3 linked regions of the Canis lupus familiaris genome follow. The protein of the gene in region 3 purifies or fractionates together with the protein of the main gene of each other region. This does not show direct contact. Links are inferred from orthologs where the notes say so. Each region holds a gene or a part of one and is shown on either strand. Other genes may lie near its edges.

Evidence for each region.
Region 1: the proteins of OGDH (region 3) and DLST fractionate together in Homo sapiens (co-fractionation; 3 studies listed by BioGRID). This does not show direct contact. The link is inferred for Canis lupus familiaris from reciprocal best matches to the Homo sapiens genes OGDH and DLST.
Region 2: the proteins of OGDH (region 3) and PDHA1 fractionate together in Homo sapiens (co-fractionation; 3 studies listed by BioGRID). This does not show direct contact. The link is inferred for Canis lupus familiaris from reciprocal best matches to the Homo sapiens genes OGDH and PDHA1.

Annotation. Positions count from the first base shown.
Region 1 is NC_049229.1:48,328,309-48,331,953, reverse strand, and holds part of DLST (dihydrolipoyllysine-residue succinyltransferase component of 2-oxoglutarate dehydrogenase complex, mitochondrial), read right to left. Parts: intron 3,157-3,645; coding exon 3,101-3,156; intron 2,973-3,100; coding exon 2,898-2,972; intron 2,672-2,897; coding exon 2,616-2,671; intron 2,128-2,615; coding exon 2,016-2,127; intron 1-2,015. UniProt on the Homo sapiens protein: Dihydrolipoamide succinyltransferase (E2) component of the 2-oxoglutarate dehydrogenase complex. The 2-oxoglutarate dehydrogenase complex catalyzes the overall conversion of 2-oxoglutarate to succinyl-CoA and CO(2).
Region 2 is NC_049260.1:15,414,432-15,418,875, forward strand, and holds the start of PDHA1 (pyruvate dehydrogenase E1 component subunit alpha, somatic form, mitochondrial), read left to right. Parts: upstream 1-1,615; 5' UTR 1,616-1,738; coding exon 1,739-1,795; intron 1,796-4,444. UniProt on the Homo sapiens protein: The pyruvate dehydrogenase complex catalyzes the overall conversion of pyruvate to acetyl-CoA and CO(2), and thereby links the glycolytic pathway to the tricarboxylic cycle.
Region 3 is NC_049237.1:14,047,309-14,050,953, forward strand, and holds part of OGDH (2-oxoglutarate dehydrogenase, mitochondrial), read right to left. Parts: intron 1,827-3,645; coding exon 1,647-1,826; intron 1,370-1,646; coding exon 1,217-1,369; intron 968-1,216; coding exon 865-967; intron 751-864; coding exon 622-750; intron 422-621; coding exon 271-421; intron 54-270; coding exon 1-53. UniProt on the Homo sapiens protein: 2-oxoglutarate dehydrogenase (E1o) component of the 2-oxoglutarate dehydrogenase complex (OGDHC). Participates in the first step, rate limiting for the overall conversion of 2-oxoglutarate to succinyl-CoA and CO(2) catalyzed by the whole OGDHC.

The sequences.
Region 1 (3,645 bases), on a different chromosome or scaffold from region 3:
TCATCTTCTATTTTAAGATCACATATGGAAGAATTCTCTTAACTATTAAAAAAATAAAAGTTTAAATAATCAAAATCTCATAGTTCAAAGCATTTCATCTATGCTCATAAAGCATTTCATCTATGCTCATAAACCACAACTTTAAATTAGATATTCATTTTGATTTTATCCATCTGTACATATCTGGTTTCATATTTAAATCAGAAAAATATTCTTTTTGGGGGCGCCTGCCTTCAGCTCAGGCAAGAAGCCTGCTTCTCCTTCTGCCTGTGCCTCTCTCAGTCTGTGTCTCTCATGAATAAATAAATAAATCTTAAAATAAAAATAAAAATAAAAATACTCTTTTTAAGGAATGATCAGAAGATGGAAGAATTGATCTTATTCCCTTCTACTGCACATTATTTTCATTCTGGGCTTCTGGTCTTACTCTGATCAATCTCAATGATGCAATCTACTATCTCTCTCCTTAACTATTTTAGGATAATGAAAAAGAAACAGACTTTAGTAGTTACTGAATTTAACTAAGAATCAGAAAAATATTTTCTTATCTAATCTCTCATATTAACTGTAAAATGCCATACAAATTCATTTCCTATTTCTCACTTCTTCCCTAGAGAAAGAGCAACATTCCCTAAAAATGTTAGGAGAGAATAGATGTGAAAAAACCATGCTGACTTCTCCAGAATAGACACCATGAAATATTGCTTCTTACTTTAGAATAGTAGTTCTAAGCCCTTGCTGTGTATCAAAATCAGTTGGAGAGCATTAAAACAAAACAAACTAGGATAATAACCAGGATCTGAAAACCTCAGATTTAATATATCCCTGGACCATGGGGTCTAGGCATTTGTGTTCTACATATATTTTAAGATTTATTTATTTATTTGACAGGGAGTGCACACACAGCAGGGGGAGCAGCAGGCAAAGGGAAGAGAGAGAGAAGCAGGCTCCCCACTCAACAGGGAGCCTGACAAGGGGCTAATTCAGGACCCTATGATTATGACCTGAGCCAAAGGCAGACCCTCAGCTGAGCCAAGGTGCCCCATAAATTTTTTTGTTTTTTAAGATTTATTTGTTCATGAGAGACACAGAGAGAGAGGCAGAGATGCAGGCAGAGGGAGGAGCAGGCTCCATGCACGAAGCCCGATGTGGGACTCATCCTGGGTCTCCAGGATCATGCCCTGGACTGAAGGCGACGCTAAACCGCTGAGCCAAAATAAAAAATAAAATTAAAATTAAAATTAAATTAAAATAATTAAAATTAAAATTAAAATTAAATAAAAGACCACCGCTGAGCCACCCAGGCTGCCCTTTTTTTTTTTTTTTCCTTTTGAGACACACACACAGACACACTATCTTAAGGAGGCTCCAGACCCAGGGTAAAGCTCAATCTCAGGACCCTGAGATCATGACCTAAGTGGAAATCAAGAGTTGGTCACTTAACTAACTGAGCCACCCAGGTGCCCTGCATTTGTCTGTTTTTAAACCCCGATGGGATTCTGATGCCAGGGATGGGGAGGGGGAAAAAAAAAAAATCAATACCTTAGACTCTTCTTCATTCTATTATATCTTTAAAAAAGGGCTAGCATGGGATACCTGGGTGGCTCAGAGACTGATCAGCTGCCTTCGGCTCAGGGCATGATCCCAGGTCCAGGGATCAAGTCATGCACTGGGCACTCTGCGAGAAGCCTGCTTCCCCCTCTGTCTAGGTCTCTGCCTCTCTGTCTCTTTCTTGAATAAATAAAATCTTTAAAAAAATAAAAAACAAAGGTCTAGCATAAGAAACATACATGGAAAGAAAATTATACGTTTTTTTTTTTCTTTTTAAATACTTTTCTTCTAGAACTTGGCATTTAAACTACCCTCTATGTAAATATCACCTGTCTTAGTCTCTCAACTAACAGGAGCTGGAATGCCAAATAACCTCTGAGGTATCAAGGTATTAGTACATTATGCTCAGCCCCAATTCCAAGGGGGAACACTGGAGACCTTGACAACCAGGAGAACTTCTTTACCGCCAGTTTTCCTGAGTGTGAAAAGAGGAGTGCCTCCTTCTACTTTTCCCCCATCAGGTACCAAAAGAGCTTCAATCACGCCATTTGCTGGTGATGGAACCTGCACAGATGTCTAGAAAACAAGGACAGATTGTAAAAGAGTCCAAATCTTTACTCAGTATTAGAAAATTGTCTAGAATCTCAAATATGAGTCACAACACAGATATTAGACTCTGCTTATAGAAACACCAAAGCCACACTTTCAGAGTAATGAAAAGTTAATGCTATTGTGAAGATTCACCCTTTGTCTTTTTTCAGAAACAATGTTCAGTTAATGTGTTTCCAAGTGATACACAAAACAAACCAAAACAGTTCATGCACGTGCACATACACATGCTACAAAACTAATTCTGCTAAAGTACATAATACTTATATTGAGAATAATCCAAAATTAAAACTTTTAAGTTTTTCTTTTTTAATAAGCTATTCCAACACTTTTACAATTGAGGTTAGAGCAAGTTAAAAATTATCTTTAAACAGTTCACAAGTCCATTTGAAAAAAAAATTAGGTTAAACCAAGAGGAAACCATGAAAAATTACACTAACATAGGACAAGCCTACCTTGTCAGTTTCAATCTCACAAACCACTTCATCTTCTGCAACAGTATCTCCAACAGCTGAAAAGATAGTCAAAGACTACCTGTTAAGGGGGGACATCTCCAGTAGCCACAAAATCCCTTTTGATAGGTGTGTTACAAGCCCCCTTTCCTATAGTGTCAGGAAAAATTACATTGCATGTAAAGAAAAGGGAGGAACCCAATTACTGGGGTGGGGGTTGGGGGGAGTCGGCAATGACAATTTTATTAAATATTTAAACTTAAGGAGTAGAGCCTAAAAACTTACCTTTCTCCCACCTGACATCTCCCTCTGTGACAGATTCTGCAAATGCTGGGGTTTTGACTGTAATCACATCATCCTCTAGGAAAAGAGAAAAAAAATTCAAATGTAGTCCGTATTTCTCCTTTTTAATTAAACTCTGTTCATTGTTGCTCTTCCCATTAAAATGCCATTCCCAAGAAGGCAGGGAACTGAAGGCAGGTACTTACTGCACACAGCTGTAGTTCTGAAGAAGCGAACACTGAAGACACTACTGTTGTTAATACTACAGAAAAAACATAAAAAAGTAAACTCCTTTAGCAGGTGAACCACTCACATTGTAGTCTAGACAAGGGACCATGGACCACTTGCCCTTAAAAATCAGTGATTCTCAGCCAGGGGTGCCTGTGAGTGTCATCTAGGGAACCTTTTTCAAAGCCTTCATGTCCAGGCCCCAACCCCAAGGATTCTGACTCAGCAGGTCTACAGCAGATCCTGGATGACTTGGGTACCCAAGGTAGTAAACTCCTTGGGTGAGTCCATAACCCTCTGTTGCAGTGAAATGCCAGCTCGCACAAAATAGAGATTTTTCACTGGGTTCAGTGAAGAAAAAGATAAGCATCTTGGTCCTTTGCACACCCACCAAAAGGAATTAGCCTCCCCATTAGGTTTTTTTTCTTGACCAAATCTAAGTACAATAAATTGTGTGCCCGCAGAGTACCTGCCATTGTGCCACAAACAATGAAATTTCTGTCTGCGGGATTACAGACTGAGA
Region 2 (4,444 bases), on a different chromosome or scaffold from region 3:
TTGTTATACTCAACCGAAACCATTTTATTCACACATATGCTCACAATAACTTTTCCTCCTGGAACATGACTGGTATGAAAATGTGTAAAGATGTATCTAATCCTCTATGGTTTTACTGTTCAGCCTCTTTTCTGGGTTTCCTCCTGACAGGAGAATTATACTTCAACCTGTTGAACTCAGATACGGTTGTGTGACTAGCTCTGGTTTATGGAAATTGAGAGGACATGACATGTGTCACTTCTGGGTAGAAGCTTTGAGAGCCAGTTTATTTATTTATTTATTTTTTATTTATTTATGACAGTCACAGAGAGAGAAAGGGAGAGAGGCAGAGACACAGGCAGAGGGAGAGGCAGGCTCCATGCACCGGGAGCCTGACGTGGGATTCGATCTCGGGTCTCCAGGATCGCGCCCTGGGCCAAAGGCAGGCGCCAAACCGCTGCGCCACCCAGGGATCCCTATTTATTTATTTTTTTTAAGAGAGAGAGGCAGACACACAGGCAGAGGGAGAAGCAGGCTCCATGCAGGGAGCCTGACGTGGGACTCGATCCGGGGACCCCAGGATCACGCCCTGGGCTGAAGGCGGCGCTAAACTGCTGAGCCACCAGGGCTGCCCTGAGAGCCAGTTTAAATGATCCCTTTGCCTTTTACGGTACAGTAGGTACAGTAAGTTGCTGACAGATGCTATTCCATCAGTTTGAGTGCCAGAGTGAAGATGACATGGAGCAGATCCCAGCCAAGCCGTGAGGGACCTGAAGTGTAAACAAGGTGACTTGAGTCCTTGAGTCGGTTCAAGTTCTTGGAGTTCAAATTGTGGTTTCAGCCTCTCACCATTCTGACCACTGTCCCCTGGATTCCACCCATTTTTGACAACATTCCCCTTACATGGGGACCCCAAATCTGAACCTAGTATCCCAGGTGTAACCCCACTGGCCCACAGTCAGCTCTCTGACCTGGGAACTCACTGAATCGAGCCTAGACTTATTTTTGTGTTTGCTTCTTTGTGTGTGCTTTTATTATCAGCTGTGTCATGCGGCTGTTAACTCCCGTTGAGCTCGCGAACCAGTAACTAGAGCTAAAGGCTTTTCCCAGCTGATCTCTCAATATTTACTTGGGGAATTGATTTTTAGATCGTAACTCAAGTACACAGGGCAGCATTTTACAACTGTTACATGATCTCTTAAAGACAAGTTAGCAGCAGAACCATTTACAGAAACCAGAGGTTCCGTCTCGGCTCCGACCACGCCATGAGTCTTCATCTTGCCGTGCATTGAACGAAGGCTGCCAAAGTGCAGCCCCGGCGAGACTGGGCGCACGGCAGGTGGCCCGTACGGTTTCCCGCCGTGCACGCCTAACCTGAGTCGCAAAACTCCATGAAAAGCCATTTTCCCGCGGGGTTCCGGAGGCGGGGCTCCACTTTCCCAGGCGGACGCCCTCAAGTTCCCGCATCCCCGCCCGCCCGTGACGTGATGACGCAACGAGCCCCCCAGTGCCCGCCCCCTATGGCGCCAACACCCAATGAGCGGCCGCGGACCTCTTCGGTGGGCGGGACACGCAACTGGGAGCCCGCTTGGTTGGCCTGCGGCCTGGCGCGGCGCGTGACGAATTTCCGTTTCGTCGGTCGTGCTGCAGTTAAGGCGTGGCGTCCGCTCCGGGCGCCTGAAGGAGACTTGGGAGATTTCGGGGCCGCGCCGCCTGTGTACTTGGGAGTCGCCTACGCCGCCGCCGCTGCCGGCAATCCATGAGGAAGATGCTCGCCGCTGTCTCCCGCGTGTTGTCGGGCGTCTCCCAGAAGCCGGTGAGGCAGCAGCATGGGCGGCCCGGGGTAGGGCGCGAGCGGGGTCGAGGCGGGGCCCGACGCGGGAGTACGGCCAGGGCTTGGGGGCGCGCGGTGTGGTGCCTCTTAGGGCGCTGCGGAGCGGCCGGAGGGTAGCGGGCCTTTTGTTCTGCCTTCGCGCCTGGCACTCGGCTCCCTGCTCCGGGACTAGCGGCTGCTGGGCCCATCAGCCGCAAAAGGGGGGAGGGGAGCTCTACCAGGTCCACGGGGAGGTCAGCTGTGACTCCCGGCGCTGGCTACAGTAGGTGTGCTCCAGAAATGCCCGTTCATTTACTGCTGACAGAAAAGGGGGCCTGGGGCATCCACGAGTCCCCAGTTGATCCTGCCCATTCATTTGAAGTCTTCCTAATTTTGTTCTTCTTGACTAAGAGGCCACGTGGTGTGTTAAGAACGTGAACTTCAGAAACTGGTCCTGTTCAAACACCTGCCTCACCATTTACTAGCTCTGTGAGCTTAGGCAGGTTTTTGTTTTAAATCTCCCTTGCTCGGTTTCCAGCTCTCTAAAGAGATAATACGAGTATTCACCCCAAGGGGTTGTCCTGAAGCTTAAACTCTTGACATATATGTAAACCTTGCCAAATAGCGCCTGGTATATAGTAGGTGCTATCTGTGTTAGATGTTATTTCAGGGGCACCTGGGTGGCTTAGTGGTTGAGAGTAGGGCTTTGGCTCAGGTAGTGATCCCGGGGTCCTGGGATCAAGTTCCACATCAGGCTCCCCACGGGAAGCCTGCTTCTCCCTCTGCCTATGTCTCTGTCTTTCATGAATAAATAAAATCTTTTTTAAAAATGTTACTTCAGTGCCCCCTTGGGTATACATTTGTGAAACACCTTCACCCAGCTCTGGAGGGTTAAGTCTGGGTCATGCTCACCAGAAATCACCACCCCTCCTTTCCCACAGTGTTGAGTTTTTCTTGGCAGTCACTTCCAAGAGCAGTCAAGCAGAACCCGGAGGAAATTGCCCTTCTTACACGCACACGCTTAGGGTAAAAGTAGCTAAAGAAAACAGCTTTGGTGCTTGGGAGAGTGGGGTTAGAGGTCAGCACTATTTATGGCTCCAGTTTTTAGATGTGCCTCAAGCCTTCCAGCATTTTGACCTCTAGGTATGGGGAGGTAGTATTACTGGGTAGAACTGTAGCCAAGCTTGACTTGCAGTTCAGGTTCTAGTAACTTCCAGGACTTTGTGGCAGTTCTGCTTACTGTGGGCAGAAATCATTGAAAGGTAGGAAGTATACCCTTTTGGGAATCCCATTGACTGAAATAACTACAAAACATAATTGGGGGGAAAAAAAACACAATTTGGTTCATCAGTCATTAGCATTTAATTGCAACTAGATCCACCTAAAGGATAAGCTCATTTCAGTGTTATTTCTGTATATCACATGATAGATCCAACATTTCTTGAGATCTTAATATGTGCCAGATGCTAGGCTATTTAATCTCCACAACTTCAGTTTTTAGTTGAATGTAAGTAATGGAAACACGTGTTCAACTTTATATGAGAATCTTAGTTTTGTATCATGTTAAATTTAAAGGGTTGTAGTAGAAAGGAAAAACTTTGATAGAATTGGTGATGTTCTACAGAAAAAAATTAGTGTATGCGTTTCAAATTACTGTCATCTCTGTGTCCCTAGGAACAGAGAGAAGCCATTAATATTAGAGGCTCATTTGCTCGGCTATCCAAAATATTTCTGGTTGTGTTTTTCAGTCTTCCAGCAATGCGTTGGCATGAAATGCTTCATCTCCATAAAACTTTGGTCTCTTCAAAAAATCATATACTACTGCCCAAATCAAATAGAAATGAATTTTGAGGGCAGCCCAGGTGGCTCAGCGGTTTAGCGCTGCCTTCAGCCCAGGGCCTGATCCTGGAGACCTGGGATCGAGTCCCACGTCAGGCTCCCTGCATGGAGCCTGATTCTCCCTCTGCCTGTGTCTCTGCCTGCCTCTTTCTCTCTCTCTCTCCCCCCTCACCCCCCTCTCGAATAAATAAATATTTTTAAAAAAATGAATTTTGAGTTCTAGTAATTTGTTAACTGGATAAGATCAGAGTAGAATATAACTTCATTTAGTCAAAAATTGTTATTGAGAGAAAAGATTATTACAGCGGAAATGGATTCCTATGTATAACATTTCTTCTATTTAATTAGTTTTTTTAAAAATAACCATTAGAGAGATGCCTGGGTGGCTCAGCAGTTGAGCTTCCACCTTCAGCTCAGGGCGTGATCCCAGAGTACCGGGATTGAGTCCCACATTGGGCTTCCTGCATGGAGCCTGCTTCTCCCTCTGCCTATGTCTCTTGCCTCTCTGTCTCTGTCTCTGTGTCTCTAATGAATAAATAAATAAAATCTTAAAATAAAAACGATTAGAGACAGTGACAGTACAACATTTTCCCTTACGTTCTCTAAGATATTAAACACCTACTTTATACAATGAGTTTTTTGAAAGACAAATTCCTTAAACTTATTTGTATCACCTGTGCTTAGAAAGTGGTTGTTTCTGTCTTGATGGGAGTAACATCTGGTATGCTTACTTATTTTTAAAGACACTTTTGCAAATCAAAGTGTCAAACCCAGAATGGGAACTTGGCAATCTGTGGAATAAGAAACTTACCC
Region 3 (3,645 bases):
GAATGCAGGTCTTCTTGTCCACGTTCTGGTCGTGGAGCACGTGGTGGCGGTGGCTGTGGCACAACAGCACAGATTAGAAGGTGGGAGCACCTGTGCTGTGCCCTGACACACAGACCCAAGAGGCAGCTACTTGCTGCAGTGGCCACTTCTCCACAGAAGTGTCAACGTCTGAGCAGGGGAAGAGTGCTTGCAGGCCGACACAGGATTTTCTTCTCTAGAGAAACACCAGAGCCCTCCCTTTTGGTGCCAAAAGAATCCTGAGAGAATTACCTAAAGGTGCCTCGCTCCACATCCTGGCCGCTTAGCCGGATATGGATGCCCTCCTTCAGGAGGGACCCGAAAGCCATGTACTCCGCCAGAGCCCAGTCCACGGTCCTGTTCTTCACCATCTCCCCGCGGGTCTTCAAGATCCGGCTCAGTCCTGCACAGACAGGGTGCTCAGCAGCCACCGGGCATACCAGCGGGGGACAAGAGCAGTAGCTCCTTCGGCCTGGCCAGCAGCTGTGATGGCCCACCCTTTCCTCTGTCACGGGGGTGGAGGACCATGCTGAGCCAGTCCCGTGCTGGAGAGAAGTCCACGGACATGGCCCAACACTTCCACAGGTCAGTGGGCGTCCTCACCTCCATGAATGGTGAAGTTCTCCACGGGCACGGAACTGGCCACGTTCCCAATGTGTGTCAGAATGTCCTCCGTCAGGCCTGTGGAGGGGCAGGTCATGCTCCTTGGCTGTCCGTCCAGGGTGAAGAAGCCTAGGACAGGGAGACAAGCTGACACATGGCCGCCACTCTTCTAGAAACCAACTGTAGCCCACAGGGGTGTGGTGGGGGTGGAGGAGAGGGGCAAAGGCGATGCTCTTCACTCACCGGGCCAGGGGGAGTCCAGCCAGTGCTTGATGTGCAAGATCTTCTCGTCCTTGGACCTGGTGAAGGCCTCCTCGCAGATCTTATCATACTTGGAGATCTCCTCCTGTGGGGTCAGGCATAGCACAGCCATTAGGGGCGCTCTGCATAGGGTACCCCACCCACCACAGCGCACCTGACTCTGCTGGCCCCCCATGTGTACGACGGCTCTGAGGCCTGCCAGAAGCCTGCTGTGTTCTCATCTTTATCCCTAGCATCTGCTTTGTGTCTAGGGGCTGCAGACCTGCTTGAGGTCAGATGCCCTGTCCCTGCCTGGTCTCTGTCCACCCCTCCTGGATTGGAACCGGGGACTTACCTCGTACTCCGGCTGGTTGACCACACCCTGGGACACCAGCAGCTCTGCATACTTCTGCAGCACGGGCTTCTGCTTGCGGATCTGCTTGTACATGAGTGGCTGCGTGAACATGGGCTCATCCATCTCGTTGTGGCCGTTGCGCCGATAACACACCTGGACACAGCCCAGACATGTTGGCATCAGAGACCCACCAGCACCAGCCTGCTCTCCTGCACCGTGCGCCCTGTTGTCCCTCCTCTACAATTCGGGTCCTGCTGAAATCTCCTTTATGCCAGAGTCGCCACCACAGGAGATGAAACCAGTGACCTGAGGACACCCTGACACAAGACCTGAACTACCTTCCTTCCCGGCAGGGCCCTAGGATGTGGGTGGGTCTGCCTCGAGTGGGAGCCCACTGCTCCTCTCCCAGACACAGATGGAGGCTGCTCACCAGGTCCACTACCACGTCCTTATGGAAGGTGCTCCGCCACTCGGCCGCCACCTTGCACACATACATGACAGCCTCTGGGTCGTCCGAGTTCACGTGGAAAATGGGCGCATTCACGACGCGGGCCACGTCAGTGGGGTAGGGTGAGGAGCGGGCCATGCGTGGGTCAGTGGTGAAGCCGATCTGCAAGAGACACACTGCTGGGCGGGGCTGGGCAAGGTGGATGGCACTCCACTGGCCCAGCGGGGCCGGGTCAGACAGGTGGGGCTGGGCGGGGTTAGGCTGGGTGGGGTGGGTGGAGCACCACTGTCTTAGCTGCCTCCTGGCTGCACCTGCCCTACTTGGTCCCCAAATGGCTACTCAGGTGGTTTATTAAAAACTGTTTTGTTGTTTCCTATTCTGCGAATAAACTTCATATGTTCAACACATAGAGTTTGGAAGACAGGATTAAAAAATTAAAGTTAATTTAAACAAAGTTACATATCTTTCCACCAGGTACAGGGTAAACACCTTGATGTCTTTCTTTGCACATATACAGCTAATATATATTAAAAATTTCAGAGGCTGGTCTATAACCCAGCAGTTTCTTCATTTAACACTGTAAGCACTATTTTGTCTTTCTTTTCTTTTCTTTTCTTTTTTTTTCTTCCTTCCTTTCCTTTCCTTTTCTTTCTTTCTTTTCTCTTTCTTTCTTTCTTTCTTTCTTTCTTTCTTTCTTTCTTTCTTTCTTTTTTCTTCTTTCTTTCAAGATTTTATTTATTCATGAGAGACAGAGACACACACACACACACACACACAGGCAGAGGGAGAAGCTGGCTCCATGCAGGGAGCCTGACGTGGGACTCGTTCCCGGGACTCCAGGATCACACCCTGGGCCAAAGGCAGGCACTAAACTGCTGAGCCACCCAGGGATCCCCATCAGCACTGTTTTCTTTGAAAGGAAAATTTAAAGCTTTCATGATCATCCTTACTTTGTCTATATTTGTATTTCTATGACCTATATCTCCTATTGACTTCTAGGAAATGCCTCACACGCACAGTGTGACAATACCATAGTGGTCACACATGAGCGCCTCCAAACCTCTGTGCCAACATGACCTGCTTCTGCTGCAGCGACTATCCTCTTAGGCTTGTCCCAACTTTACAATTTTGATACAATTTCAGAGTGGAGAAAGTTGAAAGAATAACACAAATAACTCCCATACACTCTTTACTCAGATTTGGCATTTGTTGCCTTTTGTCTTTTACCATCCATGCTCCCTCCCTCCACACGCGTGCGACACAGGACGTAGGTGGTAGTCCCCATTTGCTAAAACAGGGATGTTCCCTGAGCAGCCTAATCAATTCCATGTCCCAGACTCCACACACACACGCCCCCACTCTGTGCCCTCTCTTGTTTCCCTTTCATCTGGAAGACTCCCCACCTTTCTTGATTTTCATAGCATTGGCATCTGTCCATTTTACTGGTGGTGGACACGTTCCCACACAGGTCTGCTCCAGCAAATACGGAGCTCACTTGCGTTCACTCCCAGGAAGGGAACGCTGAGCCACAGGCTGCGAGCCTGTGGATGTCTGCAAATGCCAGCAAGCTTCTCTTCTGTTGCGAGTGTGCCATTCAAGTTCCAGCCAGTGGCAAGTGAGGGCCCCACACTGCCTTTCACCAAACTGTGACTCTGTCTCCATGGTATTAAATGTTTTGATGATTATATAGCACTGCTTCCTATGGTTTTGCCGAAATATATGCCAAGACTTCTACTGTCAGACATATGGCTTATTTTCTACTTTTGTAAGCAGTACCATTATGGTTTTGACAAACATAGAAAAGCATTTAGCATCTGATGGCTTCCTCAGGAGAGAATTTCTGGTCAAATCGTAGATACATCCATAGAGAAACAAGAGCATCAGGAAAACAGCCACTTCATCTCTCGCTACATATCTTACTGACCTGGTCTCACACTGTGTCATGATCTGTGGCATCAAAATATCAATGAAGAGACTGAAG